Linked DNA regions of Callithrix jacchus. The protein of the gene in region 1 purifies or fractionates together with the protein of each later gene. This does not show direct contact. Links are inferred from orthologs where the notes say so. Each region holds a gene or a part of one and is shown in the gene's direction. Other genes may lie near its edges. The genes, in order: KMT2C, KDM6A, PAXIP1 and NCOA6.

Region 1 (7,835 bases):
TATTGCCCAGGCTGGTCTCAGACTCCTGGGCTCAAGTGATCCACCTGCCTTGGCCTTCCAAAAGTGCTAGGGTTACAGGCGTGAGCCACAGTGCCCAGGCTACAGTGCAACTTTAATAATAACCATAGGAACACAAAAATTAGAAGATCTATAACTTAAGTTTTCAGTGGTCCTTCTGTCACTGTGAAAGTTTGGTTCCTAAAAGGCCCTGAGGAATTTATGGGAAAACAAAAGAGACAGACAACATTTAGTAGTGAACCTCTGCACTCTAAATAAAGACCATATCAATGACATTTTATAGACCTTCAGTTAGTAAGAATGAATACTGGACTATGACTTTTCAGTCACTGTCACTTGTTTGCTAGACACTTTGAGAATCTTCCTTGCCTATGGTTTCCTGAGATATTGGTTTTTCTTTGTCACAAATAACAATCCTCATTCCCTTCCCATTAAAAACTATGTGTGTGTGTGTGTATGATTAAATGATTACTATATGTGCTTTGAAATATTCAAATATTGTAGACAATGGAAGTCCCTTGTAATTCAGCCCTTTGCAGGTGATTGGTTAACAGGTTAATGCACATCTACCATATTTTAAAAATGCATATTTAATATGTATGTTTAATATTTCTATTAAGAAATAGTCTGATATTTTTCTTTTTTTTGAGATGGAGTTTCGCTCTTGTTACCTAGGCTGGAGTGCAATGGCGGGATCTCGGCTTACCACAACCTCTGCCTCCTGGGTTCAGGCAATTCTCCTGCCTCAGCCTCCTGAGTAGCTGGGATTACAGGCATGCGCCACCGTGCCCAGCTAATTTTTGTATTTTTAGTAGAGACGGGGTTTCACCATGTTGACCAGATGGTCTCGATCTCTTGACCTTGTGATCCACCCACCTCGGCCTCCCAAAGTGCTGGGATTACAGGTGTGAGCCACCGCACCCGGCCTTGATATTTTTCTACTGCATTTGGTACTATTTCCAGATGCTCCTGTCTTTTTGGTTTTATAATTTGAAGGACCTCAGCTCCCAGCCTCCTAGATTTTTAACACTGTGGTCTCAGAGCTGTGTAATTTGGATGACTGAGATGGAAAACCTTTATTTATGTTGAGTAAGTATTCCTTGAATCCTTCCTCAGCATCCTGGGTTACATTTTATTTGCTCTGCTCATGATAACTTCATGCCAAGGAGCTTGCTATCAATTCTCTTAAAACAGATCCCAACTCCCTGCTCACAGTGGCCAAAGGAATGGAGATTTAAGGCTGGGTTTACTCACCTGCATCATCTTCATCTTTCCAGAAGCATTGCTGCATGGACCTCTGTTTCTACCCTCCACTCAGTAGAGACTAGACTGGGCAATACAGTGAGACCCCCATCTCTACATTGCTGCACGGACCTCTGTTTCTACCCTCCACTCAGTAGAGACTAGACTGGGCAATACAGTGAGACCGCCATCTCTACATTACTGCACGAACCTCTGTTTCTACCCTCCACTCGGTAGAGACTAGACTGGGCAATACAGCGAGACCCCCATCTCTACTGCACGAACCTCTGTTTCTACCTGCCACTCGGTAGAGACTAGACTGGGCAATAAAGTGAGACCCCCATCTGTACATTGCTGCACGGACCTCTGTTTCTACCCTCCACTCGGTAGAAACTAGCCTGGGCAATACAGTGAGACCCCCGTCTCTATATTGCTGCACCGACCTCTGTTTCTACCCTCCACTCGGTAGAGACTAGACCGGGCAATACAGTGAGACCCCCATCTCTACATTGCTGCATGGACCTCTGTTTCTACCCTCCACTCTGTTTCTTCCATTCACGCGGCTCACTTTTTTGCTCTTAGTCCCTTTGCTTCTTGTGAACTCTCCAGTGGGAGTGACTTGCAGTTTGTACGCGCTGACACTGAAATTCTCGGAAGTGCTGGAGAAGCGTATCAAAGTAAACTACATTGATGTGTAATTTTGTGCATGTGAAACTCACAGTGAAAGCGCCTATTTTTATTTCAGTATGGAACACATGGACATTTTGATCAATAATCCAGTTTTGAAAGCGTACTTTATTTAAGGTATAATGTGCTGAAAAAAATGAAAAAAAGAAAGGGTGCTGTCCTATTTGTACTTAGTAAACTTTCAATATATCACATCTTACGTTTATCACTAGTCATGTATATGTTGTATTTCTATGTGTAATAGTGATGTACTTTTAATTTGTAGTTTTGTAAAAAAAATTTCTTTTGTAGTTTTTTTTTTTTTTTTATAAAGATGGGGTTTCACCATGATGGCCAGGCTGGTCTTGAACTCCTGACCTCAGGTGATCCACCTACCTCGGCCTCCCAAAGTGCTAGGATTACAGGCGTGAGCCACCACGCCCTGCTAATTTGTAGTTTGCATTTACCATGCCAGCCTCCTCCTCAATCCCAAACTTCCTTTGGTTATAAATTTAGCAAATTTGAAAGAGCCAGCAGGGATTAAACCCTAAAGGAATTCAAATGACTCTCTGACTTTGTTCCTTATTTCAGCCATTTGAAAAAATTATGCTTTCATTTAGAATAGGCTCTGGGAATCAAAGTGTGTATATTTTACCCAAGTAGAAGACACAGGGTGAAGTTAACATCCTAGCTACTGTAAGGGAAAGCAAACAACACCGCTGGAGAAGGAGTCTATTATTTTTACCTTACACTGAAACTGCATTGTGAAGATGAAATCAGGATGAGAGTGTGCCTCTTAATGCCAGGCCCAACGTAGATGCTTATTAAATGATAGTTTACCCCAATCCCTCACAAATGGTTGATAGGTCTTAATATTTCCCCCTAATTAACATCTAGACTTTTTTCACTCCCATATACTAATCGATAGTGCATGGTAAGCACAGAATAGATCAACGTCCAAGTGTTAGTATTCGCCTGAGAAATCCGGAATCCCGTATTTGTAACTGTCCTTCCTGAGAAAGTACATTTTTCAGGAGGATTCTAGCCCCATTTTTCTTTTTACCATTTTAACATATTATAAGAAGAAGCTTAGAAATACTTCGATTTTTGCCTCTTCATCACAACACACTGAACGTTAAAACCGAGAGGTTGGGTTTTTATCGGCTTTTGTCTTTAACCGTTTTATTTCTGGAGCTGCCATCGTTCTTTCCCTCTTACATCCTTATGAACCTTTTCTGGATTAAAAAAAAAAAAATGACGTTATAATAATGAAACTCTAACTGGTGTTGGATTAGGTCGAAGTTGACTCCATTCCTTTTCCTCCCCGCAGTGTGGGCGCTACGAGGAAAGACCTCGGCGAGAACCGGCGAAGCCCGGGCTGACCTCGCCGTGCGGGCGCACACTTGCTCCCCGCGCCGGGCTGCCCCCTGCACCCCGGGCCACCTCCGCGTGTGTCCGCCGCTCCCTCCCGCCCTCGCCCGCAGTCCCCGGATCCCGATCCCGGATCTCTGGGTCCACAGCTTGGCTCCCTCCCGAGCCGGAGCCGGAGCCGGAGCCGGAGCCGGAGTCGGAGCCGGAGTCGCTGCTGGGCCCGGCCGCCGCGTCACAGGGGGAGGGAACCCGGGGGGGAGGGGCGGTGAGGTCAGCGGCGGCGGCGCGTCCGCGGGCGGCGAGAGCGGCGCATGCGCGGAGCGAGCCCCGTGAGTGGCAGCGGCGGCGCGCGGGGGGCGGGCGAGGGGCCGAGAGTGGGGGAGCGGGCGGGGGCCGTCGAAGCGGCGGTGTGTGGGCGCGACGGTGGCGAGTTGGAGAGGTCTGTGGTGCGGGTCGCCCCGGGGGAGCCCCGGCGCGGGCCTCGCGCGGCGGCCACGGTCGCGCGGCGTGTGTGTGGGGTCCACGCACACCCGTAAAACTTCCTCCTCCCCTGCTCCGGGAGAGCGAGCGAGCGTGTGTGAGAGAGCGAGTGTGAGGAGCGAGCCGCGGCCCAGCGCCCGTGCAGCCCCGGCGCCCAGCGCCGCCACTGGAGCAGCTGTCAAAACTTCGCCGCCGCCGCCGCCGCCGCCCGGGCCTGACGAGCCTGACGCGCGGGGGAGGGGCGGCCGGCCGGGGGCGCGACCCCTTCACCGCCCCCGCCGGGCCCCGCGGCCCGCCCTCCCCGCACCGGGCCCCTTTCTCCTCCCGCCGCGGGCGGCCCAGGGGAGGGGCCGCGGGCGGAGACCCCGGGGGCCGGCGCCCCCCACGCCGTCCGCCCGGCCGCCCCGCCCGCCCGCACCCGTCGGCCCCGCCCGCCCCGCACCGCCCGCCCCGCCCGCCGCCCCCCGCCCGGCCCCTGCGCGCGGAGGTGCGCGCGCCCGCGCCGATGTGTGTGAGTGCGTGTCCTGCTCGCTCCATGTTGCCGCCTCTCCCGGTACCTGCTGCTGCTCCCGGGGCTGCGGGAAATGCGAGAGGCTGAGCCGGGGAGGAGGAACCCGAGCAGCAGCGGCGGCGGCGGCGGCCGCGGCGGCGGGAGGAGCCCCCCAGGAGGAGGACCGGGATCCATGTGTCTTTCCTGGTGACTAGGATGTCGTCGGAGGAGGACAAGAGCGTGGAGCAGCCGCAGCCGCCGCCACCACCCCCCGAGGAGCCCGGAGCCCCGGCCCCGAGCCCCGCAGCCGCAGACAAAAGACCTCGGGGCCGGCCTCGCAAAGATGGCGCTTCCCCTTTCCAGAGAGCCAGAAAGAAGTAAGTTGAGTGCGAGGGAGCCAGGCCGGGAGCCAGCGGCGGCGCCGGGCCGGAGCTGTCACTGGGCGCCCGCCCCGCGGCCCCCGCGCCCCGGCGCCCCCCGGCGGGGTGGGGGCGGGGCGGGCCCGCGGGCGGCGGCGGCTCCCGGCCCCGGCCCTGGCCCCGCGCCCCTCGGCGGCCGCCCGCGGCCGGCCTCCCCCGCTCCGCGCCGCCCGCCCGGGCTCCGCACACTTTACTTTTCAGTCGGGCCTTTTCGCTGGGTCTTCTCCGCAACTCTTCTCTTGGAGAAATTTCTCGTAGCCGCGTCTTGGCCTAGCTGGATCATTGAGAAAACAAACCCGGAGCGCGCCCAGGTTGTCCCCGGACGGACTCCGGGCGAACAGCCGAGCCGTCGGCGCTCGGCAAACTCTCGGAGCTGTCAAAACGCCCGGGCCAGGTGGTCTCGGGGCGCGGGCTGGGAGCGAGAAGAAAGCGGCCGGGCGAGTGCGGCTTTTCTTTGTCAGAGACCTGCTCCTGGAACTTTTCCTGGTCCCAAACCTGTGTTTTCTTCTTTTGATATATTAGGAAGCCATTTGACTTCTCCCTCCCCACTCCCTCGACACCCCGAACCGCACTGTCGGGCTCCGAAAGCACAACTCCTGTGGGATCCCACAGCTTCGGGGAACGGCCTGCCTAAGTTTTGGAGACGTAACCTGTGTCCCCTCGTAAGGCAGAATACGGAGCACTTTTATTCGGAAAGAGTGCCGATGTAAATGTCGCTTCCCTAGTAAGTCTTAGCTGTAAGGGGTTTGGAAAAAGGTTGGCGTGCTTTCGAGCATACAGTAGGGGTGGACCAGTTTATTAGAGGACCAGAAATGTTTTTGTACAGAGCGGTTATTGGACGGCTTTGCTTGTCAATGAAGAAACCCGTTTCAGTGCCAGTGAACTAACTGCTCGGCCTCTGTGGTTCTTGCGTGTGCCGTGGAAGATCTGTGAATGTCTCTCGAAGTTGTAGAATGGCGTGTGTGCTTACTCATTTCATGATACGGTATTCTCATTGAACTGTCGGGAGTGGAAGGGTGCGCTGGGACGTGAAGGAAGCCAGCACGTTTATGGATAGGCTGTTTCTTTGGTTCGGGTGCATTCACTTAGTAATACTGTTGTTGTTTGGTGATTTGTAGTAAAAATAGTAGCGTGAACTGAGGCATAACAGAGCTGGGTTGTGGGAACCTATTAAGCACTTGACTTGAATGTGCTCTTTTCTTGCCCTACGTCCTTTTACTATGGAAATGATTCAGGCCCTTCAGCTTGCCTCCATATTTCATTGCCAGCTCTTACCTAGCTATGATAATAGTGAGGGAAGCAAGTACAGGATGTGTGTACATTATTACATTTGCTTCTTTGTGATACAAAGTTAGGGTTTATTTATTAGGCCGCTTGCATTGTAATGTAATGGCAGGTATAGAATGCCCTTATTCTATATTAACTGAAATTTGGAGAAGGAAGTGGAGGTTTAAAGTAATTTGTAGACGTCTAAGCCACTTTTTGGTATCCTTTAAAGGAACTCAGGACAAGCCATCTTGGGATTTTACCTCGATTGTCTCCCATTTCACTATTTGAAAACCGTTTCTTCATCTCTTACTGAACATTAATTTGAGATTATTGTTTTTAAATTTGCATTTGAATTCTTACTCTAGAAAGAGTAGATTTGTGTTGTCACACTCCACACCCCATACTCATGTAAGGGCGTGCTTGTGCACGCACACTTGCACACGCACGCGCGCACACTCAAACACACATCCTACTTTTGAAACGAGCTCATTTGTATTAGTGCAGTTCCTGGGTGCACCGGACGATTAGGGTATTTCCACTTTATTATTTTAAATTTTTTTTTTTTAAATTATAAAGATGGGGTTTCACCATGATGGCCAGGCTGGTCTTGAACTCCTGGCCTCCCGAAGTGCTAGGATTACAGGCGTGAGCCACCGCACCTGGCCTATTTTAATTCTTAATCTCATGAAGAAATAGGTAGTGTTTGGAGAAGGTAAAATTTCTGCTGAAGGACGGCATAACGCTGAAACATCAGAACTTTGGAAATATTTAGAACAAATGTAAGTCTTGAGTGTTTCCTTTTAGATTTGAAAACTTGTACTGCATTCTTTATAGGAAAGTCTACTGGTAAATTTGACGGGTCCAAACTTTTCAGAGCATTTTTTTTTTTAATTAAATGTCTTTTGAAGGGAATGGAATCCCCAGTTTTTAGAAACATGTAAATGGAAACTAACATATGAATTGGAAAGCAAAGAGAAGGTTTTTCAATTGTGTATCTCTACACTATGTTAGAGTCCATGCAGGAAAAACCTTCTAATTGGGTAGTAAAGACCCTGAAAGTGAAACTTATGTGTAACCAGTGTAAATTAGGTTTGTAACCAGTGAAATTATGTGAAATTGCGAGTAATTCATCTGAGATATGAAAATTAATATTCTTTGTTAAGTATCATAGAGATATTTTAAGTTGTTAGTGTTACTTATGTGTTCATTAACTTAGTGAGTTACATTAAGTAGAGAAGATGCCTTTTGACACTAAAGTGGATTTGTGTTTTTATCTTTGGCTTAAAAAAAACATGCACCACCAATTACGCTTCTCTCCAGTTTGAATTTTTAATAATTAGGTAAATAAAGCATTTTCTTGTCTTGTAGTGTTAGCTAGATTGTTTTTGTTTGTTTTATCACATATAAAAAAAACTAGCTATATAGTTGCTGCTTTTATATTAATATAACTTAAAATTTTGTTTAGTGTCTAAAATCAAGAAATTTGAACTGAAGCTATTAATCTTAGAGTTGGAAAGGTAAGTATGTAAATAGAGATTTTCTGTTGTACAAATGTCAAGTGGCACAGTGAAATTTACATTCATCTGAAAGTTTTCCTTAACTGTAAAGACTATCAAATTATTTGATTATTTGGAGTAGTTCATAATCTTTATCAGAGGCACAGGTCTGGCAAAGAAGCCTCTGCCAGAATATGCACATTAAAGATCTGATTATTGTTCTGTTAATGTTAAAAAACCTTTTTCTGAAGCTTTGATCTTATTTTTTCCATCCTTACCCTGTAAATTCCTTACTCTGTAAGTTGGGAAGCCAACGGAACATTCTGCTCTACCATATTTCTTACCAGCTCATCAAAGGTGATGTTAGAAGTGGGGTGGGTGTGG
Region 2 (7,218 bases), on another chromosome or scaffold:
CTGTCTGGAGCTAATAAAGCAGAACAGGTTACTGTAAGGTCCTAAATATTATATCTGTTTCTTTACTAGGATCCTTTCCCTAAATCACTTTACTTTCCATTTTTCCCTATCATTCAGTTGAATCACGTCTTTTCTTTAGGATATGCTCATTACTGTGGACTCCTTAAGAATCTCTATCTCTCTGAATTCTTCTTCTGTTCCAAGTGCTGCCTTTTGAAAATAAGGAGGAGCAAAAATTTTCCATGTTAAAAAAGTAAAGGCAAGGAGAAATCACAATGTTGTTATTCATCGTCAGATAAGATAAATCGAACTGTCAGTTTCCTAAGATTTTGGTATCACACAAAATATAAAATGTAAATTTTGGAGCAGAATTTATTTCAGAAGCAGACTGACTACTTATGGCTTAGTATTTACTCTTAGCAACCTTATCTCTGACCCCTAGTTATTTGTAGGGGTCAGAGGTATACTGCCTTTTTCTAAGATGAAACTACCAAGCTAACAATACATTGTAAACTACAGTCTAATTGCCAAAGTAGTCATTGAAGATGAAAATTTATCTGCTGAGTAACGAGTAGCCTGATAATTCCACAGAACCAAGGCTCTGTGTTTGGAAAAATTGTGCTTCCTGAGCCCAACCAAGAATCTCATCTTCACAAGAAAAGAAGGGGAGTGGGTGAGAATAATATGTGAGAAGAGATCAAAAAGAAGGGTACAATGTGAGATAGTAAGGGGAAGCTCGAGATTTTCTTTTAAAAACTCATAGCTCAGCCACTTTTAAATAGCTTTATGACAGACAAACTTAACTTCTCTGCACTCCTGCTTTCCCATTTGCAAGATAGAGATAACCTTTCTCCACAAGTTAGGAGGCTTACTTGGCATAATGTATGTGAAATAGCAAATACATAGCTCCTGTCTGGCTATTTTTTATTTACTTTTATTATATTATTTTTGTTTGGCCATGTGTCAGGATAGTTGAGTTTGAAGTCTTCCAATGACTACAGAGCTTTAGGCAATATTTTCCTATAAGAGACCTTATTTTGAAGCCCTACTTGGAAAACTTGTTCAGTAATATCTGTACCTTTAGAAGTGTTGTATGGGACATGAGGAGGGAAAAAGAGAGGAGCAGGTACTGTTCAAAAGCTAGAGGCAGAGTCTGAATTATATTCTTCTCTCTTTTCCATGTTCTAAATTTTTACTTGCTACCTTCCCTGGCACCCTTTACAGGCATGCATACATACCACCGATAGCTGCCCTAGTCTTGACACACAACCACAGTCTAAAGGAGGGATCCCCAAGCCCTGGGCTGCAGACCAGTATTAGTCCTTAGCCTGTTAGGAACCGGGCTGCACAGCAGGAGGTGAGCAGCAGGCAAGCTGGCATTACAACTTAAGCTCTACCTCCTTTCAGATCAGCGGTGGCATTAGATTCTCATAGGAGCAGGAACACTATTGTGAATTGCACATGCAAGGGATCTGGGTTCCTCGCTCCTTATAAGAAGCTAATGCCTGGTGATCTGACGTGGAATAGTGTCATCCCGAAACCATTTCCCCCCGCCCTTCCCCCTAGGTCTGTTGAAAAACTCGTCTTCCTCAAAACTGATCTCTGGTGCCAAAAAGGTTGGGGACCACTGGTCTAAAGCATTGTTTTTGTTTCTAAATAAGTTAAATATGTAAGAATTGTTGAAGTCAAGCTGACAGTGCATCTTTGAATATGATACTTAAGGAATTGGCCTACAACTATGAAATTGATATTGTTTTATGTTTTTTAAATAAGCTAACAAGTTTTACAAAGATTTAGTCATTCCCCGCCTCCCCACCCACTGCCGGATTAATATACGTGCGTTCTAATAAATAACCATATTTTAACATAGTAACTTATAAAATAGCAAAGAAATAATAAGGTATATTAAATGTTTTATTACTTATAATTTGAATTTTAGTTGTTTATTGATTAAGCTACTGTATGCTAGGCACTATCCTAGGTGGTGAGTAGATAAGTAGATAGCAGGAATAAAATAGATAAGATCTCTGCTTTCAAGACAACGTTCAGTTGCTAAACTTTATGATATTTTCATTGTTTCCGAATTTTAGAGCTGAAAAGTGCGTTACAGATCATCTAGTTCAACCTCTCCATTCGAATGGAGAACCTGAGCCACTAAGATTCACAGGAGAGTAAGAGAATTCAGCAAAGAATTCCAAGTAATGACAGAAAACTATAAGAGAATCAGTACAAATTGTGAGAATTTACTATGTTGTTAGCATCCTAAGTATGAGTTTAGAAAAGGTATAAGAAAAGTTCAATTATGTTAATATGAATGAATTCTACTGTTACCTTCAAGATAAAATGAAGACATACTTTTTTCTTTACTATTATAGTTAAATGAATATCGTATCCTCTAGTAACTAAATTCATAAATATATTTTCTGCTTATAGACTTGAGTTTCAAAAGCAGCTGTACAGATGATGCTGTTAATGAGTGTTTAGGTAGCGCTGATAAAAAAAATAATGTGCCTTCCTGCCTTATTAGAATCATAGCAGTTCAGACCTGGAATTCACACCCCTTATTTCAAGGATAAGGCAATTGACTCCCAGAGAGGTTAACTGACTTGCCCAAATAAGAGCCAAAATTAGCAACTCACATTTTAAGCAGGGAGTTAGTTTTTATATATTAAGACGATTATATGTTGATATCCAATATCAATTTTCTCAATTTTAAATGTTTTAATAGTTTTCAGGCCTGCTGAACATTGGCTTTTTTTCTAAATCTGAGAATAATTGATAAATTGATGAAAGAAAAATTATGAAATCATAGACATTAGAGTCAAGTCTCTTGGCATTATTTCCAGTTAGTATATCTTTTATGCTAAAAATATTCAATATTCAGTTGCTGGTCACAAATAATTTCTCCCCCACAATAGGTATTGTCTTCTAAGAACTCTGAAGCAATGCCAAACATTGAGGGAAGCTCTCATCGCTGCAGGAAAAGAGATTATATGGCATGGGCGGACAAAAGAAGAACCAGCTCATTACTGTAGCATTTGTGAAGTAAGTAATTGTTCTTATCCACAGTTGTTTTATAAAGCCTCTGCCCTCTCTACTTTTGGTTTCTCTTTAGTTATTTTTTTAAAACTTGTTTATACTTTTATGCAATGCAGTTTATAGTAATCAACATTGGATTCAACTTTGTTGTTAGCCATTGTATTAAAACTTAGTGTGATAATAACAATATTTCACTGTTAATTAATAACCTTAAAAGTATCTACTACAGAGTCATTTTTGTGGTAGATCTTCAACAGATGAGAATCAGCAAGTTTAGTCTGAGATTTTAAACTGGGAACAATCTAGATATACACAGATGTCAATAAACTGGATGTGTGGTTCAGTATAGGCAGATCTATGTTCAGTCCTCTCTGGTGCAATTCACAATACATTTGTGAATCTTCTGTTGCCAAGGCTTGCAAGAGGTGTAGGAACAAAGATGTGGTGGCTGCTATGAATATGAAGGAGCTTAAATTATACTTGGAGCGTACAGATTATAAACAACTAATTATAATGTACTTGAGACTGATGAATGTGAAATTGGACTTACCGTTATAAAAACACTGAGGGGAAAAGTGACCTAATTTTTTCTTGTTGTATTGGCATAAGAATTCACAAAAGTATTAGCATTTGAGTCCACCCTTGAAAAAAAAGAGTGTATCAGTAGGCTAAGAAAGTGATGGGAATCAGAGATAGGCTGTCATGGACTATAGGAACAAGAAGAAAATGGGAAAATGGAATGGTTTTAGAAAAGATTGAATGTGTTCCAATTTGGCTGGGACACAGACTGCCAATTCTACTCATAAGTCTAGGTGGCATGTAATTTGTAGCACATCTTGAATGGTTTTAAGGAATTTGATATTCTGAGGTCATTGAAGCCATTAAAAGGTTTTGAGCAGGCAACTAAGGGTAAGATAAGTGTTTCAGGGAGAAAAGTGGTTGGAAAGGACAGCGATATAAGCTGTGACAGTGGTCTTAAGAGTTGTTATCTAGACTAGAACCTGGAAATGGGAATATCAAAGAAGGGAAATAATCTCAAAAAATATTTAGAGGGTAAAATCAGCAAGACACCTCATTAAATAGCAGAAGCAGAAGTACAAGTTGAAGAACGCTCACCAACTTTCTAGCTCAGGTCACTAGGTTCATATTGCTGCCTGTTGACAATAATGGATAACATAGTGAACTCTCTGGGATTGTAGTTAATTGTTCAAAGAAGACATGGGGTCATAAGAGTTTTCTGTCACTGAAGAAACTCAAGGATAAGTCAAAGACAGGATATTGATGGTCCATTTCAAACCTTGAAATTCTGTAATTCTAATGTCAACCTTTATTTGAAATGATTGAATCCATCGACTTTTTAAATGTTGTATGACCTAACCAAAATAAGTCATTAGGAGATAGATAGATTCCAGTTAGGTGTGTTGTTCCTTATGCTACCTACACCTTAGCGATTCATCAATCTTTCTGTAGAAGACAGAGGTATTATTTCTAAAATCATGTTGTACTCATGAATACATAAAAATGATCACTTACATTTGATTGTATACTAGTGTTTTGGATTTAAAAATAGGTTGACCTTTATCAAACTTTTGAACTGGGCTTTGCTGGTGGTTGTCATGAGTATGTCATTCCCCCTTTGATTACTCCCCTAAATATGCATTCCACCCATGTCTTTGGATTTGGTGCAAAATAAACCTGGTCTATTAAAGATTCTCAAACACAGCCATGTTTTTCTTACCACCTACTCTTAACCAGAGATCACTGTTCACAATTTCATTCAAGTAGAATTTCATGATTATACTAAAGCAGTACAGTAAATACCACCATCTCTGTTGAATACATATTTCTCTTGTATAAAACAGGTAGAGGTTTTTAATCTGCTTTTTGTCACAAATGAGAGTAATTCACGAAAGACCTACATAGTACATTGCCAAGATTGTGCACGAAAAACAAGCGGAAACCTGGAAAACTTTGTGGTGCTAGAACAGTACAAAATGGAGGACCTGATGCAAGTTTATGACCAATTTACATTAGTAAGTCAAATCAACATGTGAGTACATAGTTAACTGGGTTATGAAGCAGCAGTGTTTGTTCTGCCACCTGATAAGTAGGAGGTAATGAAATATTTTAAGTTTTCCTTTGGCTCATTACATATTGCATGAGGGTATATTCATATCTTTTCCCCCCTCCATTTCCAAGTATTTATTCCTATAAAATTGGCATATATCATTTTTACTTTTCTTTCTGGGTGAGACCAGCCTAAATGATTTTACAACAATTACATTTAAAAATCTTTGTGTGCTTTAGATAAAACACTATCATCCTTTATGTCATTTTATCTCGGTTGATAAAATGTTTGTGTATGTAGGTTATTAGAGCCCACAAAATGAATCAGTAAGTGTGCTTTTAAATACACTTCTGCTTTTAGAGCTAATTGTATTTGTTTAAAATTTTGTCCTTGCCAGAAGTATTAACCTCATGGGAATATTTGATGGAGCTTAACTTCCTGGTATGTTATATAACCTTATGAAATTCAAGTATACTTATAAATTGCACACAGTTTTTAATTTCAGACAGCAGATGCTTGGGGAAAGCATTTTACTCTAGCAGATCAATAGCTTTATGAATAGAAACACAGAGATACTTTATGAATTGTTGATTTTCTCCAGTACTTGTCTCCCACACATATGTGATCAGAAACTAACTTTTTGAAATTTTGTTTCTGATATTTTCTCTTAAATGGTCTTCAGGATTGCTGAAGAAGAAAATTATCTGGAATATGTTGAACAAAATATATTATCTAGCTGAGATAGATTCTGAAGGCAATCACTAGTGAAATTGTAATCTGTTAAATTATTTTTCAAGAAGCCCCCCCCCTTTTTAAGCAATCTTAAAAAATGGTAAACTTAATAACATTGCAAGAGTTTTAGGTGAAGAAGTATAGGAAACTGCAAGTACTCTGAGTAGGACAATGGTCTTAGACTCTTAGGAAAATTGGCCGAATGGGAGATAGTAAGGTAGGTTGTGCTTTTATGTTGTATAGCAGGCTGTTGAACTTTCTTGGGAGTTATTTCCCCTAACTTCATAAGCAAACTATATTTTTGTAGCCATGAGCTATTAACAATTTGTATACCAAAATAACCCATCTTACTTTTATTTTCAGGCTCCTCCATTACCATCCGCCTCATCTTGATATTGTTCCATGGACATTAAATGAGACCTTTTCTGCTATTCAGGAAACAACCCAGTTCTGCACCACTGGTTTTTGTAGCTATCTCGTAAGGCTGCTGGCTGAAAACTGTTGTCTATGCAACCTTCCAAGTGCGGAGTGTCAACCAACTGGACAGGAGAGAGTACTGCTCCTACTCCAGGATCTCACAAGGCTGATCAGCTGTACTTCAGAAAAAAATAATAATTTCCATGTTTTGTATATATCTGACAAAACTGGCAACATCATACAGACTACTGACTTGAAGACAACCTCTTTTATATTTCTCTATTTCTGGGCTGATGAATTTGTTTTCATCTGTCTTCTCCCCCTTCAGAATTTTCCTTGGAAAAAAAATACTAGCCTAGCTGGTCATTTCTTTGTAAGGTAGTTAGCAATTTTAAGTCTTTCTTTGGTCAACTTTTTTTTAATGTGAAAAGTTAGCTAAGACACTTTTTTACTGCTTTTATGTTTTTCTGTCTTGTTTTGAGACCATGATGGTTACACTTTTGGTTCCTAAATAAAACATTTAAAAAATTAACAGCCAAGTCACAAAGGTAATGGATTGCACATAGACTAAGGAATAAACTTCAGATTTGTGATTTTTGTTTCTAATCTTGATGTAAATTTACACTATTTATAAATACATATTTATTGCTTGAAAATATTTGTGAATGGAATGCTGTTATTTTTTCCAGATTTACCTGCCATTGAAATTTTAAGGAGTTCTGTAATTTCAAACACTACTCCTATTACATTTTCTATGTGTAAATAAAACTGCTTAGCATTGTACAGAAACTTTTATTAAAATTGTTTAATGTTTAAAGAGTTTTCTATTGTTTGAGTTTTAAAAGGACTTTATGTACAGTGCCCAGTTTTTGTTCATTTTTGAAATCTGATTATATATATTTTATATATACTTATGTATGTATATATAATATATATAGAAATCTGGATATATATGTATAAAT
Region 3 (7,921 bases), about 2.6 Mb from region 1:
TTTACTTGGGGGAAGTCTAAAAATAATGCTCAGTGTCATATCTGGAAGTGGTATACACTTCAAATTATAGAAAGCAAATACAAAGCTTCTGTTTAACAAACTGATAGTTATTACCCTACAAATGGATCATCCTTTATGTGTCGCAAAACCAGTAATGAGAATTTTATTTAACTGTGAATAAGATACAGCAGTGTCGACATAGTATTTTGTTCCATAAGCAAAATGGTCATCTTGGGGAAGATAATTTCTGTGAGTTTACCACTTGTCTTTAAACACTGACTTGCCATCTTTATGTCCTCTGCTAGATGGGTTATTCTTCATGACGTCAGGGTGCCAGATTTTTAGACTTCCTCAGAACATCCTTTATCCACATGACATTAAACATTTTTATTTTTCATCATTGGTCAGGCAGTAGTATTTGAGAGTTTCTGAGGTCTATTTTGTGGGACACTGCCTCCACCCCTTCCGGGTGCTGCTGCTCTAAGATCCACTTGTGTGGACTGCTTGGCACAGTTCACATGTGGTATTCTACAAATTCTGACAGGTTGATGGGGTTTTAAATAGATTTATTTATTTAGAGATGCAGTTTCACTCTGCTGCCCAAGCTGGAGTGCAGTGGTGTGATCTTGACTCACTGCAACCTCTGCCTCCCAGGTTCAAGTGATTCTCCTGCCTCAGTTTCCCAAGTTACTGGGATTACAGGCATACGCCAGCATGCCTCGCTCATTTTTGCATTTTTAGTAGAGACTTGCATTTTTAGTTTCACCAGGTTGGCCAGGCTGGTTTGAACTCCTGATCTCAGATGATCTGCCCACCTTGGCCTCCCAAAGTGCTGGGATTATAGACCTAAGCCACTGTTCAGGCCTTAAATAGCAGATTTCTTAATCCCACAATTTGCCTTATTGACTATCAGAACTTGAAGTAGGGTAAGCTTGTTCTTTTGAACATTACAAATTGCTTTCTTAATTCACAAAATAAAATACCTAGTTGAAGTCCACTTCAGGCCTTTTAACATAAAATCACCTACTTAGTTTGTGTTTAACCAAGAAAAACAAAAGGACAACCAGGCACCATGGCTGACACCTGCAACCCCAGCACTTTGGAAGGCTGAGGCAGGCGGATCACGATCGAGGTTGGCAGATCATGAGTCAGGAGTTCGAGACCAGACTGGCCAACACAGTGAAATTCCATCTCTACTAAAAATACAAAAATTAGCCGGGGTGGTATGCACCTGTAGTCCCAGCTACTCGGGAGGCTGAGGTAGGAGAATCGCTTGATCCTGGGAGGTGGAGATTACAGTGGGCCGAGACCACGCCATTGCACTCCACGGGTGACAGAGTGACACTCTGTCTCAAAAAACAAAAGACAAAAGAAAAACCAAAAGGATAAATAAGTTCTCTCACACAGAAAGGATAAATTAAGTTTTCTCACACAGGTCAATAAAAAGGCATGATCTGTATTTGGACCTACAGTATTTATTACACTGGTATGTTCCCAACATAGAACATAAAACATCATAATGAAAATATATGCCAGAATACATCAAATATATTCTTAGGTAATAGAAGGTTTCCCGATTACAAAGGATGTCATACAAATTTAAGGATGGATGATAAATTCTTGGTTTTTCCTTCAGGCAAGCACTCAGTGTTTTTAATTACAGGTTGAGTAAGCTTTATCTGAAGTGCTTGGGACAAAAGTATTTCCGTTATTTTTGATTTGAAATATTTGCATGTATGTAATAAGGTATCTTGGTGAAGGGACTTAAATCTAAGTGGAAAATTCATTGGTTTCACATACACCTCACCTCACCCACATAGTCTTAAGGTAAGGTTATATATTTTAAATGATTTTGTGCATGAAACAAAGTTTTGATGGCATTTCTTAAAAAAATGTTTTCGCTGTTTTTTTTTTAGAAAGGGTCTCACTATATTGCCCAGGCTGGACTCAAACTCCTGGGCTTAAGCAATCCTCCTGCCTCAACCTCCCGAGGAGCTGGCACTACAGGTGCCCACCACACCTGGTTGGATTGTGATTTGACTGTGAACCAGTCGTCATGTCAGCACTCAAAAAATTTCGAATTTTAGAGCATTTTAGATTTCAGATTTTCAGATTAGGAATGCTCAATCTAAATTTGTAAAATAAGTTTTTGAGCCTTAGAATTTCAGATTGTTCAAGAGACAAATGAGAAAGACAACAACAACAACAACAACAAAAAACAGCAAACACTGGAATGATAAATCATTAAGTATATTTAAACGTGTGGTTTACCTTCTGCCTGTACGAAACCACTCATGACATACACACAGATTTAAAGACAAAACTGTATTCGCCTGATTAACAACAGATCGCATGTTGAGCAATGAACCAACACAACTTTTATCATACATTTAAAAAAAATGGTAGCACAAAGGCCAACATAAAGCCTGGAAAGTGATCTAATCTGTTACGTTAGTGTACCACAGAGGAATTCTGAAAGCCTTCTCTTTTGAGGCTGTCTAGCTGTCGCCCAAGCTGGAGTGCAGTGCCACCATCTCCGCTCACTGCAACTGCCCCCTTCCGGGTTCAAGCATTTCTCCGGAGTAGCTGGGATGACAGGCGCCCGCCACCACGCCAGGCTATATTTAGTAGAGACGGGGTTTCACCGTGTTGCCCAGCCTGGTCTCGATCTCCTGGCCTCGTGATCCGCCCGCCTGGGCCTCCCAAAATGCTAGGGTTACACGTGTGACCCACCGCGCCCGGCCCCTTCTTTTTTAAAACCAATTTCACTACCGTTTACTTAAAAATGGTTTTCTCCTTGGCAGTAGTGACTTCGGGTCTGTGGGGAAGACACCGCGGTCCTGGTTCGGAGTAATTTAACAAGCAATGCTCCAGTTCTAGGACCAGGAAATATTCCGACAATCACCCGTGAGTTTCTGGTCTCCGGTTTGCTGTGAGATTGGAAATCAACGTCGTAAACGGCCGCGTTCGTCATCAAGGCCTTATTTCTTCCCCCGACTTTCGGTGGCGCAGGTGTCTCGGGCAGGTGACCCCGAGGCCACTCTGCCGCGTTTTGGGAATTTTGGCGGAAGGGAGGCGAGGTGTAAATAAAAAAGCACCAGCATTAGAATCGCCGCTGTGTAGCATTAACCCGCCGAGCGGGGCTTCCTGGGGCTGGAGGTGCACCGCGGGCTCTGCCGTCTGGGACTCTCCCCGAGCGCGGAGAGGACGCGGCGCCAGGGACGAGGCCCGGCCCTTCAATACAGCCGGGCCTCAGGCAGTGGCGGGGCCGGGCGTCCCCAGCACAGGCGCCGAGGCACTACTCCAGGTCCGGCCGCGCTCTCGGCAACTGCGAACAGCCTGCAACACCCAACCCCACTCTGCCCCGGCTCAATGAACCCAAGGAGGCCGCAGACCGGATCCGGATCCGGATCCGGATCCGGACCCGCTCCCGCTCCGGCGCCGGCTCCCGCTCCGGCGCCCGGTCCCGAGGCCCCGCCCCTCCACCGCGCGCATGCGCCGCTCTGGAGCAGCCGCGTGTGGTGACGGGAGGGGCCTGCCTACTCCCCTCCTTCCCGGGACCGGCTCACTCCGGCCCCGCCGAGGGGGGCGCGTGTTTCCCCTCGTCCCAAGAGCCCCCTTATTGCAGAGCGGTGGCCACGGAACCGCAAGGTTTGAAGCTAGTCCATGGCTCTCAGTTCCCCGGGGGCCGTGGGCGGCGGCACAGGCGCGGGGCGTCACCGGCGGCCGGGCGGCTCCTCGGCGCTCCCCCTCGGCGGCTGGGGCGGGATGGTGCGTCCCGCAGGGCGCGCGCGGCTCCCGCGCTTCGGGCGCTCGGCGCGGGCGCGGGCGGGGGCGCGGAGGGCGGGGGAGCGGACCCCGATTCGCAGGACCCGGCCCGGGCCGCGCGATCAGGGCCGTTGGCTGGGCGAGCGGGGGCGCCGGGCGCCGTGGGGGCCGGGGACGGGGGGTGGGCGGGGCCGGGCGCCGCCGCGGAGCCTCCCGGGCCGCCGCGATCATGTCGGACCAGTCGCCCAAAGTTCCTGAGGAGATGTTCAGGGAGGTCAAGTATTACGCGGTGGGCGACATCGACCCGCAGGTACCGCGCCCGCGCCCGCGCCCGCCGCGGCTTCCCCCCGCGTTCGCGTCACCGTCCGTCCCCGCTCCCGTCCCCGTCCCCGCTCCCGTCCCCGTCCCCGCTCCCGCTTCGGGCGCGCGCTGGGCGCAGAGCGTCGGGTCCGGGCGCAGAGCGTCGGGTCCGGGAGGCCTGACTGCGCGGAGGGCAGGGGCGGCCGCGGGGTGGGCGCGGGAGGCCGGGGCCCGGGGGAGGGAGGGCGGGAGGGGAGGGCTGCCGGGTCGGCGGGGGCTCTGTGCCTAGGCCCCTCGTGCGCGCCCTGAGCCCCGGGCCTGGGGCCCTGAGGTCGTCGCCCCCCACCCAGCGGGCCCCCTTGCTCTCTGCTCCTTTCTTGAGGGTGACTGGCGCGGGGTCGCATCTCCCCTGCCCCGCGTCGGGTGTCGCGGCTCTGAGGACGAACGAGAGGTTGCGGGGATCCCCGGCCCGGGCAACTCGCGCGGGGCTCCCAGGCTCGCTGGGCCGGCGGGGGCCGTGTCCTTGCCCCGGCGTGGCCGCCTCCGCCGCCCGGGCAGTTGCGGTTCTGTGCGAGGCTGAGGAGCGCTCCCCTCCAGCCTGTGTCCTTGCACGTGGGGGCTGGCATTCGTCTTCCTTGATTTTCCCAGTTGGATGATTAATTTTATGGTGCCCTGGTAACACCATCACATTACACATTTAATTTTGTGTAGTTTGGGCTCATGCCAAAGGATACTGTGGGTTTTCCTTCGTATTCCTGTAATAATACATCTGTTTGATGTCACACAGTTATCAGCCCGTGATAGGAATGCATCTTAGTTGAATATCCTCTTCAGGTTAATCTTCAAAATATTTCCTTCGTAAGAGTTTAACTGTACAGTTTTTTTTTTTTTTTAATGTTGCCTTGGGGGTGACATCAGTGGCGCCCACCTTGCAGGATGGGGATGCCGTGTGAACAGTTAGGCCTGGAAGGTCGGAGACTAATATTTAGCAAGTGAACTTGGATGGAGTAGAAGACTGATTGGTCTTGGCCTTCTTGAGGTTCGTCCTTGTATCTTAGTAACTACTTTCTTGGATCCTTTTTGCACTGCAACTTTAGACCTGGCGTGGTTGCTCAACGCTTGTAATCCCAGCACTTTGGGAGGCCGAGATAGGTAGATCACCTGAGGTCAAGAGTTCGAGACTAGCCCAGCCAACATGGTAAAAACCCATCTCTACTAAAAATACAAAAATTAGCCAGATGTGGTGGCAGGTGCCTGTAGTTGTAGCTACTCGGGAGGCTGAGGCAGGAGAATTGCTGGAACCTGGGAGCCTAAGGTTGCAGTGAGCCAAGATGACGCCATTACACTCCAGCCTAGGCAACAACAGCGAGAATCTATCTCACAAAAAAAAAAAAAAAGAGAGAAACTTCTTGCTTTTCATTTAAAGAGTAAAACGGTTGCTGAACAGGGAGTGATCCAAATGAGTGCCTGTAACAGTGTTATAACAGTGTTAGCTTTTTCCAGTATTGATGATAATTTCCCGTTCCCCCCAACTTTTTTTTTTTTGCTCTCCACCATTTTTCTCTGCCCCCTCCTTCCTACCCTTCCTGTTTGATTGTAGGACTTTGGCTCTTACAAGGCACTTGAACCAAATTTTACTTAAAACCTGGAACAAGTTGAACTGGAATCATATTTACTCAACTGTAAATTAAATCTACGTGCTTAAAAATGTCCTTGGGAAACCACTTTCATCTGAAAGAGTATATTTTCTGAAATGTTTAGAGCCTGGATATCTGATTCTCTGAGTCTTCTGACTGTGGATTGTAAGTTCACATGTTGACCATCTAGTATGAGGCAGGCATGGACTGAGTGGAAGGTATAACATAAAGGTGAAGAGGACATGGTACCTGCCCTTGAGCATCCCTCATTGTTCGGAGAGGGAACACACTTGGACACATCACAGTACAAGGGGTAGCAGATTTCTCCCCTGGGGTGCAGAGCAGGCACCACTGAAATGTCACTAAGTAGATGTCATTTCACTTGGCTTTTGAGATCAGCAGAAGTTGGGAACATGAAGGAATATTTTCCCGTGGAACATGTGTACTGAGGAATGAAGGCATCGTGCATTGGGAATACATCAGGATAATCACTATATGTGGAACAGAATGACATGAGATAAATCTATTAAGATATTCAGTAGTGTGGAGATTGAAAGAAGCGCTTGGTTTTGGCATCCTCAAAGTCTGTGAAAACCGAATAAGTATTTTTGGTAGAGTGTCGGTGGAAGAAGCTGGTTTGCAGGGAGCTGAAGAGTGATTGGAAACTGAGAACAGAAAGGTTAGGCTGTTTAAGGAAATTTGCCCTGAGAAGGAAACAGAAGGTGACCGAGGAAGAGAGGGCTGGGAGGGATCTGTGTTGCATCACAAGCACATGGGAGGATGTGGGAGACTCACTGTTTACAGGTGGAGGGAGCATAGCTGTGGACAGGGAGAGACTGAAATATCGAGATAGGCTCAGAAAGACTGGAGGGCAGGAAAAGGAGGTGCCTTTTCACAGACAAGCCGAATGGATGTGTGAAGCTAAGGGTGCTTAGAGGTCAAGGGAAGGAGTAAAGGGAAGTGGCCTGTGGCCAGCGATCGTTGTTTTTCACTTATTAAATACTGAACCTCTGCCCTAGTTCATGTCTGTTAGTGCTCAGTATAGTATTGTGAAAAGGTTGCCTAGCTTGAGGGTCACTTTATTTTATTATTATTATTATTTTGAGGTTGGAGCAAAAGTTTTCTTTGTTTTTTGAGATGGGGTCTTGCTCTGTCGCCCAGGCTGCAGTGCAGTGGCACGATCTCAGCTCAGTGCAATCTCCACCTCCTGGGTGCAGGCGATTCTCCTGCCCAGCCTCTGGAGTAGCTGTGATTACAGGCACCCACCGACATGCCTGGCTCATTTTTTTTTCTTTTTTTTTTTTTTTGAGACGGAGTTTCGCTCTTGTTACCCAGGCTGGAGTGCAATGGCGCGATCTTGGCTCACCGCAACCTCTGCCTCCTGGGTTCAGGCAATTCTCCTGCCTCAGCCTCCCGAGTAGCTGGGATTAAAGGCACGCACCACCATGCCCAGCTAATTTTTTGTATTTTTTTTTTAGTAGAGACGGGGTTTCACCATGTTGACCAGGATGGTCTTGTTCTCTTGACCTCGTGATCTACCCACCTCGGCCTCCCAAAGTGCTGGGATTACAGGCTTGAGCCACTGCGCCCAGCCGCCTGGCTAATTTTTGTACTTTAGTAGAGATGGGGTTTCACCATGTTGGCCAGGTGGGTCTCGAACTCCTGACCTCAAGTGATCCGCCTGCTTCAGCCTCCCAAAGTGCTGGGATTACAGGTGTGAGCCACCACACCTGGCAGAACGAAAGTTTAATAAGTGAAGGAAGAACGCTCTCTGCTGCGGAGAGGGGACCTGGAAGAGCGTTGCTCTTGTTGGTTACTTGAGCTTTTGGGGTACCATGTCACTTTCACACTTGGTATACATTGTCAGCTTAGACACTAGCCACCTCCTCTGAAGCACTTGACTCAACTTTTCCTTCCCCCTCGTTTCCTTGGCTTCTGTGGACGCTCCTCTCCTGTAATATGTACTTCCCCACCTGATCCACTCTCTGGCCCCCCTCCCACTCTCACCTTCATGCTCATGGCTTTGGCTCCCGTCTCTGTAATATCTGATGGCTTTTTGTTAGGTGAGATCTTCTTCCTTTCCTAGCTGCAACTGGATGCCTGTTGCTGGATATTACACATGCCCCCTGCAGAACAGTGCCCACACTAAAACACGTTCCTGCATCCCCCACCTGCCGCCCTTCTGCTATCTTCCTTAGTGAGTGGTCCTCTTATTC
Region 4 (7,686 bases), on another chromosome or scaffold:
TCAGGCTGGTCTCAAACTCCCAACCTCAGGTGACCTGCCTGCCTCAGCCTCCCAAAGTGCTGGGATTACAGGCATGAGCCACTGTGCCTGGCTTTTCCAGGATATTTAAAATCTCTTTGGTGTTAATTCCATAGGCTCAAAGGTCTAAGGTGCCCCATTGTTGGGTTGCCTGTGGTTCTCTTTGCTCCTCTCTGCCCTCTTGGGCCCAATACCTAGTATGGTGCTTAGAAGTCACAAACATAACAAATACTTATTGAGCACCTACTCTGTGCCAGGTACTGTGCTACGTGCTCAGTAAACAGTAGTAAACAAAATGGATGAGGTTTCCTTCCATAGTCCAGTGGCAAAGACAGGTAATAATGACTTGGTACCTTCTATTAAGGACAAGTACATGGTGTTAAGAGATCCTGTCTGGGAAGGTATCCTTGGAGTAGCCCTGTTTGCACTGGATTCTGAAGGCTGATGAGTTATTTAAGTGTGGAGAGCATTGGAGGCAGGGGGATCAGCATGTGCAAGGGTGCTTAGAAGGGAGGGAGAACAATGTGTAAGAAATGTCACTGTAGTTCCAACCCAGAGAAAGGGGAAGAGGGCCCGGGGATAAATCTAGAGAGGTGAGGGGCACAACATTTATTTAGCCTTTATCTTAAGAACAATGAAGTGCCATCAGATTTTTTTTTTTTTTTTTTTTTTGAGACAGGGTTTCACTCTATTGCCCAGGCTAGAGCACAGTGATACCATCTCAGCTTACTGCAAGCTCAACCTCCTGGGCTCAAGCAATCTTCCCACCTCAACCTCCTGAGTAGCTGGGGCCACAGGTGTGCACCACCATGCCCACTAATTTTTGTTTTTGTCTTTTTTTTTTTTTTTTTTTTTGAGACTTGGTCTCACTTTGCCACCCAGGCAGGAGAGCAGTGGTGTGATCTCGGCTCACTGAAGCCTCCACCTCCCGGCTGAAGTGATTCTGGCTGCATGCCTCAGCCTCCCAAATAGTTGGGACTACAGGTGTGTGCCACCATGCCCAGCTAATTTTTGTACTTTTAGTTGAGATGGGGTTTCGCCATGTTGCCCAGGCTAGTCTCGAACTTCTGAGCTGAGGTGATCCACCCACCTTGGCCTCCCAAAGTGTTGGGATTACAGGTGTGAGCCACTGAGTCCAGCCGTTTTTCTATTTTTTGTTGAGACAGGATTTTGACATGTTGCCCAGTGTGGTCTCAAACTCCCGGGCTCAAGCAATCCACTTGCCTTAGCCTCCCAAAGTGCTGGGATTATAGGCGTGAGCCACTGCACCTGGCCATCATCAGATACTTTTAAGTAGGGTAGTGACATAATCAGATTTCTGATCATTAGAAACATTATTGCGACAGCAGCGTGGAGAATAGATTAGAGGGCAGTCAGGGTGATGTGAAAAGATGGTGGGTATCTACTACACCAGTCCAGGCACACAGTATGTACTCAATAAATATTTATGGAATGAAAGGGTTCCTGACTCCCTTTCCTTAATGGGACCAGTAGGACTGACCTGTTTAATTAGTTTACAATCCTCCTGTTCATCCTCCATCTCCTGTGATGCTCAGAACAGCCCCCTAACTCCTATTTTGCAGATGAAGAAGCTGAAGTTCAGAGAGGGAAGGGTAGCTATCAAGAGCAAAAGCCAAAATAGAGCTACCATACAATTCAGCAATCCTACTCTTAGGTATACACCAGAAAAAAAGGAAATCAGTATACGGAAGCGATATCTGCACTCTCATGTTTACTGCAGCCCTGTTCGCAATAGCCAAGATTTGGAAGCAACCTAAGTGTCCATCAACAGATGAATAGGTAAATAAAATGTACATGTGCACAATAGAATACTATTCCGCCATTAAAAAAGAATGAGATCATGCCATTTACAACAATATGGATGTAACTGGAGGTCCTTGTTACATGAAAGAAGCCAGACACAGAGAGACAAACTTCCCATGTGATCACTTATTTATGGGAGCAAAAAATTCAAACAATTGAACTCATGGAGATACAGAGTAGAAGGAGGGTTACCAGAGGCTGGGAAGGTTAGTGGGAGGTGGCTGGGAAATGGGAATGATTAATGGTTACAAAAAATAAGATGAATAAGACATAGTATTTGCCGGCACAAGAAGGTGATGATAGTAAAAAAACAATTTACCTGCACATTTTAAAATAACTAGCATATAACTGGGTTGTAACACCAAAGATAAATGCTGAGGTGCGGCCAGGCACGGTGGCTCATGCCTGTAATCCTAGCACTCTGGGAGGCCGAGGTGGGTGGATAACCTGAGGTCGAGAGTTCAAGACCAGCCTGACCAACATGGTGAAACACCATCTTTTTTAAAAAAAATGCTGAGGTGCTAGATACCCCATTTACCCCATTTACCATGATGTGATTATTATGCATTGCATGCCTGTATCAAAATCTTATATACCCCATAAATATATACACCTACTGCGTACTCACAAAAATTAAAAAAATACATCAGTGTAGTGTGGGAAAAAGAACAAAAAAATTTAAAAAAAGAGTGAAAGCCAGATATGAATGCAGGCCTGAATGACAGACATCAAGTCCAGTGCTGAGGAGGCCTTTCTACATTTGGGAAGAGGGGAGGGGCCACACTCACTTGTTCGATCAAGAATTCTATTAACTGAGCATTTCGCTTGCTAGGGAGGTAATGATGGGAAAAAGAAGAGAGGGATTTGGAGGCAACTAATAATGAAAGCTTCTATCTATATCCCCATTAAGCTTATTATTAGACAGTATGTGTCAGGCACTGCGATAAGTGCTTTCCATGCCCCCCGCCATTTCTTCTTCAACAAGCACTATGAATTTCTCCATATTTCAATAGGTAAACTGAGGCTTGGAGTTGCCACGTCCAAGGGTACTTAGCCAGAGCGCTCGCAAAACGTTGTGCCGTGTGTGCTTCCGAAGTGGGACTCACTGGCGGGAGAACAGCCCTGGGAAGTCGACAGAGACCCACGATACACCCGCACTAAGCACTCAGCACCGAAGCGAGCTGGCGCGCGCTCCACCTCGCGCTCCCGGGAACGTCTGGTCACATGGGCGATGCCCCGCCCCTCGAGTCCGCCCCGCCCCTTCTCGCGCTCCCTCCCTCTCTCCCTCCCTCCCCCTCCCTCCCCGGCCCGGTCCGGCCCATCCCCCTCCCCGCCGGCTCCGTGAGGCCCTGCCGGGTCGGGCTGCGGGCGGCCGGGCGCGGGTGGCCGGACAGACGGGCGCACGCGAGGACTGACGGACGAACGCACGGAGGGCGGCGGGCACGCACGGCCCGGGCCGGCGCTCCAAGGCCCGCCCGGGAGGGCCGGGGCCGCGCTCAGGTGAGGCAACGGCGGCGCGGGCCCGTAAGGGGTGGGCCCGCCGGGCGTCCGCGGTCCGGGTCGGGTTGGCTTTGCTGGGAGGAGGCGCCGCCCGGGCCCGGCGCGGGAAAATGGCGCCCGGCGACCGTGCTGCACGGTCCGAGTGTGGGCCCGGCCCGGAGCCGCCCCGCCCGCCGCGCTGGTGTCCCAGTCGCCATGTTGGGGAGCGGGCCCTAGGCCTGCGGGCGGGGGCGCTGGAGGGAGCGGTGGCCCGGCGGGGTGGGGAGGGTGCTGGGCGCGGGGGCCGGTGCACTGAGGGAGTGCAGGGCTGGCTGGGGTCTGCACGGGGTGGCGCTTCAGGCCTGGGGAACTGGCGGGAGCTGGTCGTGGGGTCGTGGGGTCGTAGTCAGGGTCGCCGAGAAGGAACACCGGGACCGAAAGGAACCGGGATTGGGGTCCAAGGGCTGAAAGGATGGCAGGACGTGGAACTGGGTTAGGCCTTAGGCGGTGTATAGAGAGCCCTAGTGCTGGTAGGATCTGGGGATTGGGGTGGAGGCTTGGGGTCAGGCTCAGGCTGTCAGGGCTGGAACAGTTCTTTGCGGGAAAGGACGGAGGCGATTGATGAGAAATGAGGGCCCTTTGGATCCAGACGCTGGTATCAGATTGGGCAGTCCTTGGGGTAGTGGAACTGAATTGCAAAGCTGTGTAACTCACAAGGCTCTGAAGACTTCTGTCCCAAGGATCCTCCACCCCCTATTGGGGGAAGCAACAGGAAAAAGGTGTTTGATGAGGAGAGAACAGGGGGACTGAGGTTTGGGTGCAAGCTGGCCAGCAAAAGAGGTACAGAGAGTAGAACTGGTTGGCAAGAAAGGAGAAAACCTACATCAACTTTGGGAGTTGTGTGTGTCTTTAAAAGGAGGAACCCGCCTGTTTGGGGGCGGTGACCCAAGGTGTCTTCCCTGGAATGGGACAGCCCACAGCTTAAGAGCAGGGTCACCTGGAGAGGTCATCAGAAAGGCGTTATTGAAGCCAGTAAAATGGTGAAGAGTGAATGTATAAAAACTACAAAGACCTGAGAGATCAAGTAAAGATTTCAACTCAGGTAGTGATTTTAGCTGAAACATAGAAAGGTAAAGTTGACTTCTCAAGATCTTATAAGTTAGTGGCAGAGGGGCTACTGGAAGTGGTTTAAACACATTTCCTTAAAGGAATTTGCTGGTTGGGAGAAAGGTGTTAAGAAATGAAGCGTAACATTCTTGTGATGAAACTAGAAGCAAACAAACAAAAACAACAAGAAATGAAGCGTAACAGTATATACCAGAGAACAATTAAATTTGTTTTGTTCCTGTAATGAGTTTGGCAATGCAAAGGCCGAAGGGAATACAGTTACTTGGTATTTCCTGGCTCGTCTCTAATTGTGCAAAGAAGTTATCTTTGATACTTTCTAACTTTCTAGAGTTTTTAGAGATGCTCCGGCCAGCCACAGTGGCGCATGCCTGTAATCCCAGCCCTTTGGGAGGCCAAGGTGGGAGGATTCCTTGAGCCCAGGAGTTGGCAGACCCCATCTCTACAAAAAAGGCCAAAAAATTAGCCATCTGATGTGGCTTGTATCTGTAGTCCCAGCTACTCAGGAGGCTGAGGTGGGAGGATCGCTTGAGCCTGGGAGGTCAAGGCTGCAATGAGCCATGCTGTGATCATGCCATGACATTCCAGCCTGGGCGACAGAGCAAGATACTGTCTTAAAAAAAGAGATGCCTTCTCTTCTAGGTGTTTATCATAAAGGAACACAAAATCCTAAAAAAGAAAAGTGAACAATGGTAGAGACCCAGAGTCTATATTGTGTTCATCGAAGTTGGATCCTGTGAGAGAAGAATTCAAAGTTTGCATGGACTATGGGTCTGAAGGAAATATGCAAATCAGTCATGAAAAATAGGTCCAGGGCCCCATATAATCAAAGAGAATTAATGAACAAAAGGGTTATATATAAAATAAGATCGTCAATATCATATGTATATACAGTAACACAATTCATTTGTTCTGGGTTTGTTTTTTTTTTTCTTTTTGGTAGAGATGGGGTTTTACCGTGTTACCCAGGCTGGTCTTGAACTCCTGAGCTCAAGTGATCTGCCCATCTCGGCCTCCCAAAGTGCTGGGATTAACAGGCGTGAGCCACCATGGTGTGAGCCTTTTCTGGGTTTTTCTAATGCTGGAAGACCTGACTTTATCTGTGCCATGGACCCCTTTCAGAATAATATTTTTAATTGTATAAAATAAAATACATTGGATTATAAGGAACACCAATTATATTGAAATACAATTACTACACTATAAAAATCTAATATGCATATACTTGTTTATCAGCACATTAAGAAATCATATTTAGTGATGGATCCGATAATTATAATTTCAAAGATATGATGCGCTTAAAGGGTACTTTAAGATTATATGCAACAACTGTAGTATAATATAAAGATATTTGAGGGCAGGGCACGGTTGCTCACATCTATAATCCCAGCACTTTGGGAGGCTGAGGTGGGTGGATCATAAGGCCAAGAGATCAAGACCATCCTGGCCAACATGGTGAAACCCCGTCTCTACTAAAAATACAAAAATTAGCTGGGTGTGGAGGTGTGTGCCTGTAGTCCCAGCTACTCGGGAGGCTGAGGCAGGAGAATTGCTTGAACCTGGGAAGTGGAGGTTGCAGTGAGCTGAAATTGTGCCACTGCACTCCAGCCTGGTGCATGGTGACAGAGCAAGACTCTGTTTCAAAAAAATAAAGATATTTGAGATTTCTATTGTTACAGAGTCACAGATACTCCTAATACTAGAATGGTATGTTACCTACAGTCATATTTGAATAGAATGGTAATTTTCAGTTAGAGGTTAGTAAAAGAAATTTTGTTTTTTCTATCCAAGTTCACAAACCTCACTGAAGTCCTATTTATAGATTCCGGTCTGTGAACCCCCAGGTTAAGAAACCCAACTCCTACTACCAGACATGTCTTCCATTCAACAAACATTTACTGTGCCTCAAGGCATCTACTGCGTATCAAGCATTATGCTGGGCTCCAGTAGATTCAGAAGTCTTTACGGCAGTCATTTCACTTTGGGTATGCAGCCCTATGAGTGAAGTAGACAGGTGAAAATCATAGCTCAGGTTGGCCGATGCCAAAGAAGAGTCATTAAATGCTATAAGGACACAGATGGGTGTGTCTCTGCTCAAAGTATCAGGCAAGGTGTTGTGAAGGGGTGACATCTGAGATGTGTCCTGAAAGATACAGGAGTTTGCCAGTGAATTGGAGAGAAGGGCTTTTCAGGTAAAGACACGTTTTCAGGGAATGCATTAATTGAATGTGGCTGAAGCATAGGATGTGTGTGAAAGCATGGTCAGAGATGAGACTAGGAAGCCCATGTTAGGAGCCTGGTTGTGAAGGACCTTGCTAAGGAGTTTGGACTGAATCCTCAGCTGAGAGAGGCATTCAAGATCTTCAAAAGGGGGAGTATATAGTGGAGTTTTAATTTCTAGGAGATACATGGATGATCTTTGGAAGGAGGGTAGACTGAAGACCAGGCAAGTACAGAGGATCTGAACTAAGGCAGAGGCTGTGGGCATTGAATGGAGTTAGAATTTTCAGGTGTTGATGATTGACGTTGTGAGTGGTAAGAGGGGTGACTTTTTTAGATTTCTGGTTTAGATTTTCTGGGTTGATGGCTGTCAAAGAGGTTAAATGAAAGGAAAATGAGGGGAGAATTCTCATTGATAATAAGGGTGAAAGGGTTTTTTTGGTAGAGTAAGAGTTTTGGAAACCACTGCAAAGCTGTCAAGTGTGGTGTAGTTTTTGGTTAAGGAAATCAGAGGTAAGTGTCAGCAGACATAAAAGGCAGGGGAAAACATGGGAAGTACCCTACCTATAGTGTAGAAAAAGCACAACTGTCCATGTCAGGCAGGGGTCAGCAAACTGTTTCATAGGTCAAATCTGGCCCACCATCTGTTTTTTTAAATAACATTTTTATTGGAACACAGCCACACTCGTTTACTAATATTGTCCATATCTGCTTTTGTGGTACCAATGGCAAAGTTGAGTAGTTGTGGCAGAGATGTGTTATGTCGGTTCACAAAGCTGAAAATACTCTTTACAAAAACATTTGCCAACCCCGATCTATGTGTCTTTTTTTTTTTCTTTTGGTTGATCTGTGTGTCTGAATGTTGGGTATCAACCTCTAATTTGCCATCCAATGTCTATACGATGGAGAATGAATAAACGTCTTGGCTCTGCCCTTTGGGCTTGATTCCCCATGCTCTGTGTACCTGCAGCATAACATAGACCCCTGAATATTTATATCAGTCAGTGATGGCAAGGTCTG

What was found.
Region 2: the proteins of KMT2C (region 1) and KDM6A purify together in Homo sapiens (affinity purification with mass spectrometry; 3 studies listed by BioGRID and IntAct, with this or other methods). This does not show direct contact. The link is inferred for Callithrix jacchus from reciprocal best matches to the Homo sapiens genes KMT2C and KDM6A.
Region 3: the proteins of KMT2C (region 1) and PAXIP1 purify together in Homo sapiens (affinity purification with mass spectrometry; 4 studies listed by BioGRID and IntAct, with this or other methods). This does not show direct contact. The link is inferred for Callithrix jacchus from reciprocal best matches to the Homo sapiens genes KMT2C and PAXIP1.
Region 4: the proteins of KMT2C (region 1) and NCOA6 purify together in Homo sapiens (co-immunoprecipitation; 7 studies listed by BioGRID and IntAct, with this or other methods). This does not show direct contact. The link is inferred for Callithrix jacchus from reciprocal best matches to the Homo sapiens genes KMT2C and NCOA6.

What each region holds. Positions count from the first base shown.
Region 1 is NC_133512.1:95,792,923-95,800,757, forward strand, and holds the start of KMT2C (histone-lysine N-methyltransferase 2C), read left to right. Parts: upstream 1-3,594; 5' UTR 3,595-3,626; exon of another isoform or gene 3,627-3,736; intron 3,737-4,263; exon of another isoform or gene 4,264-4,482; 5' UTR 4,483-4,483; coding exon 4,484-4,644; intron 4,645-7,835. UniProt on the Homo sapiens protein: Histone methyltransferase that catalyzes methyl group transfer from S-adenosyl-L-methionine to the epsilon-amino group of 'Lys-4' of histone H3 (H3K4).
Region 2 is NC_133524.1:46,019,834-46,027,051, forward strand, and holds the end of KDM6A (lysine-specific demethylase 6A), read left to right. Parts: intron 1-2,090; exon of another isoform or gene 2,091-2,235; intron 2,236-2,918; coding exon 2,919-3,045; intron 3,046-4,901; coding exon 4,902-5,072; intron 5,073-5,504; coding exon of another isoform or gene 5,505-5,513; exon of another isoform or gene 5,514-5,548; intron 5,549-6,202; coding exon 6,203-6,232; 3' UTR 6,233-7,073; downstream 7,074-7,218. UniProt on the Homo sapiens protein: Histone demethylase that specifically demethylates 'Lys-27' of histone H3, thereby playing a central role in histone code. Demethylates trimethylated and dimethylated but not monomethylated H3 'Lys-27'.
Region 3 is NC_133512.1:93,192,851-93,200,771, forward strand, and holds the start of PAXIP1 (PAX-interacting protein 1), read left to right. Parts: upstream 1-3,824; 5' UTR 3,825-3,997; coding exon 3,998-4,078; intron 4,079-7,921.
Region 4 is NC_133506.1:4,478,269-4,485,954, forward strand, and holds the start of NCOA6 (nuclear receptor coactivator 6), read left to right. Parts: upstream 1-3,147; 5' UTR 3,148-3,342; intron 3,343-7,686. UniProt on the Homo sapiens protein: Nuclear receptor coactivator that directly binds nuclear receptors and stimulates the transcriptional activities in a hormone-dependent fashion. Coactivates expression in an agonist- and AF2-dependent manner.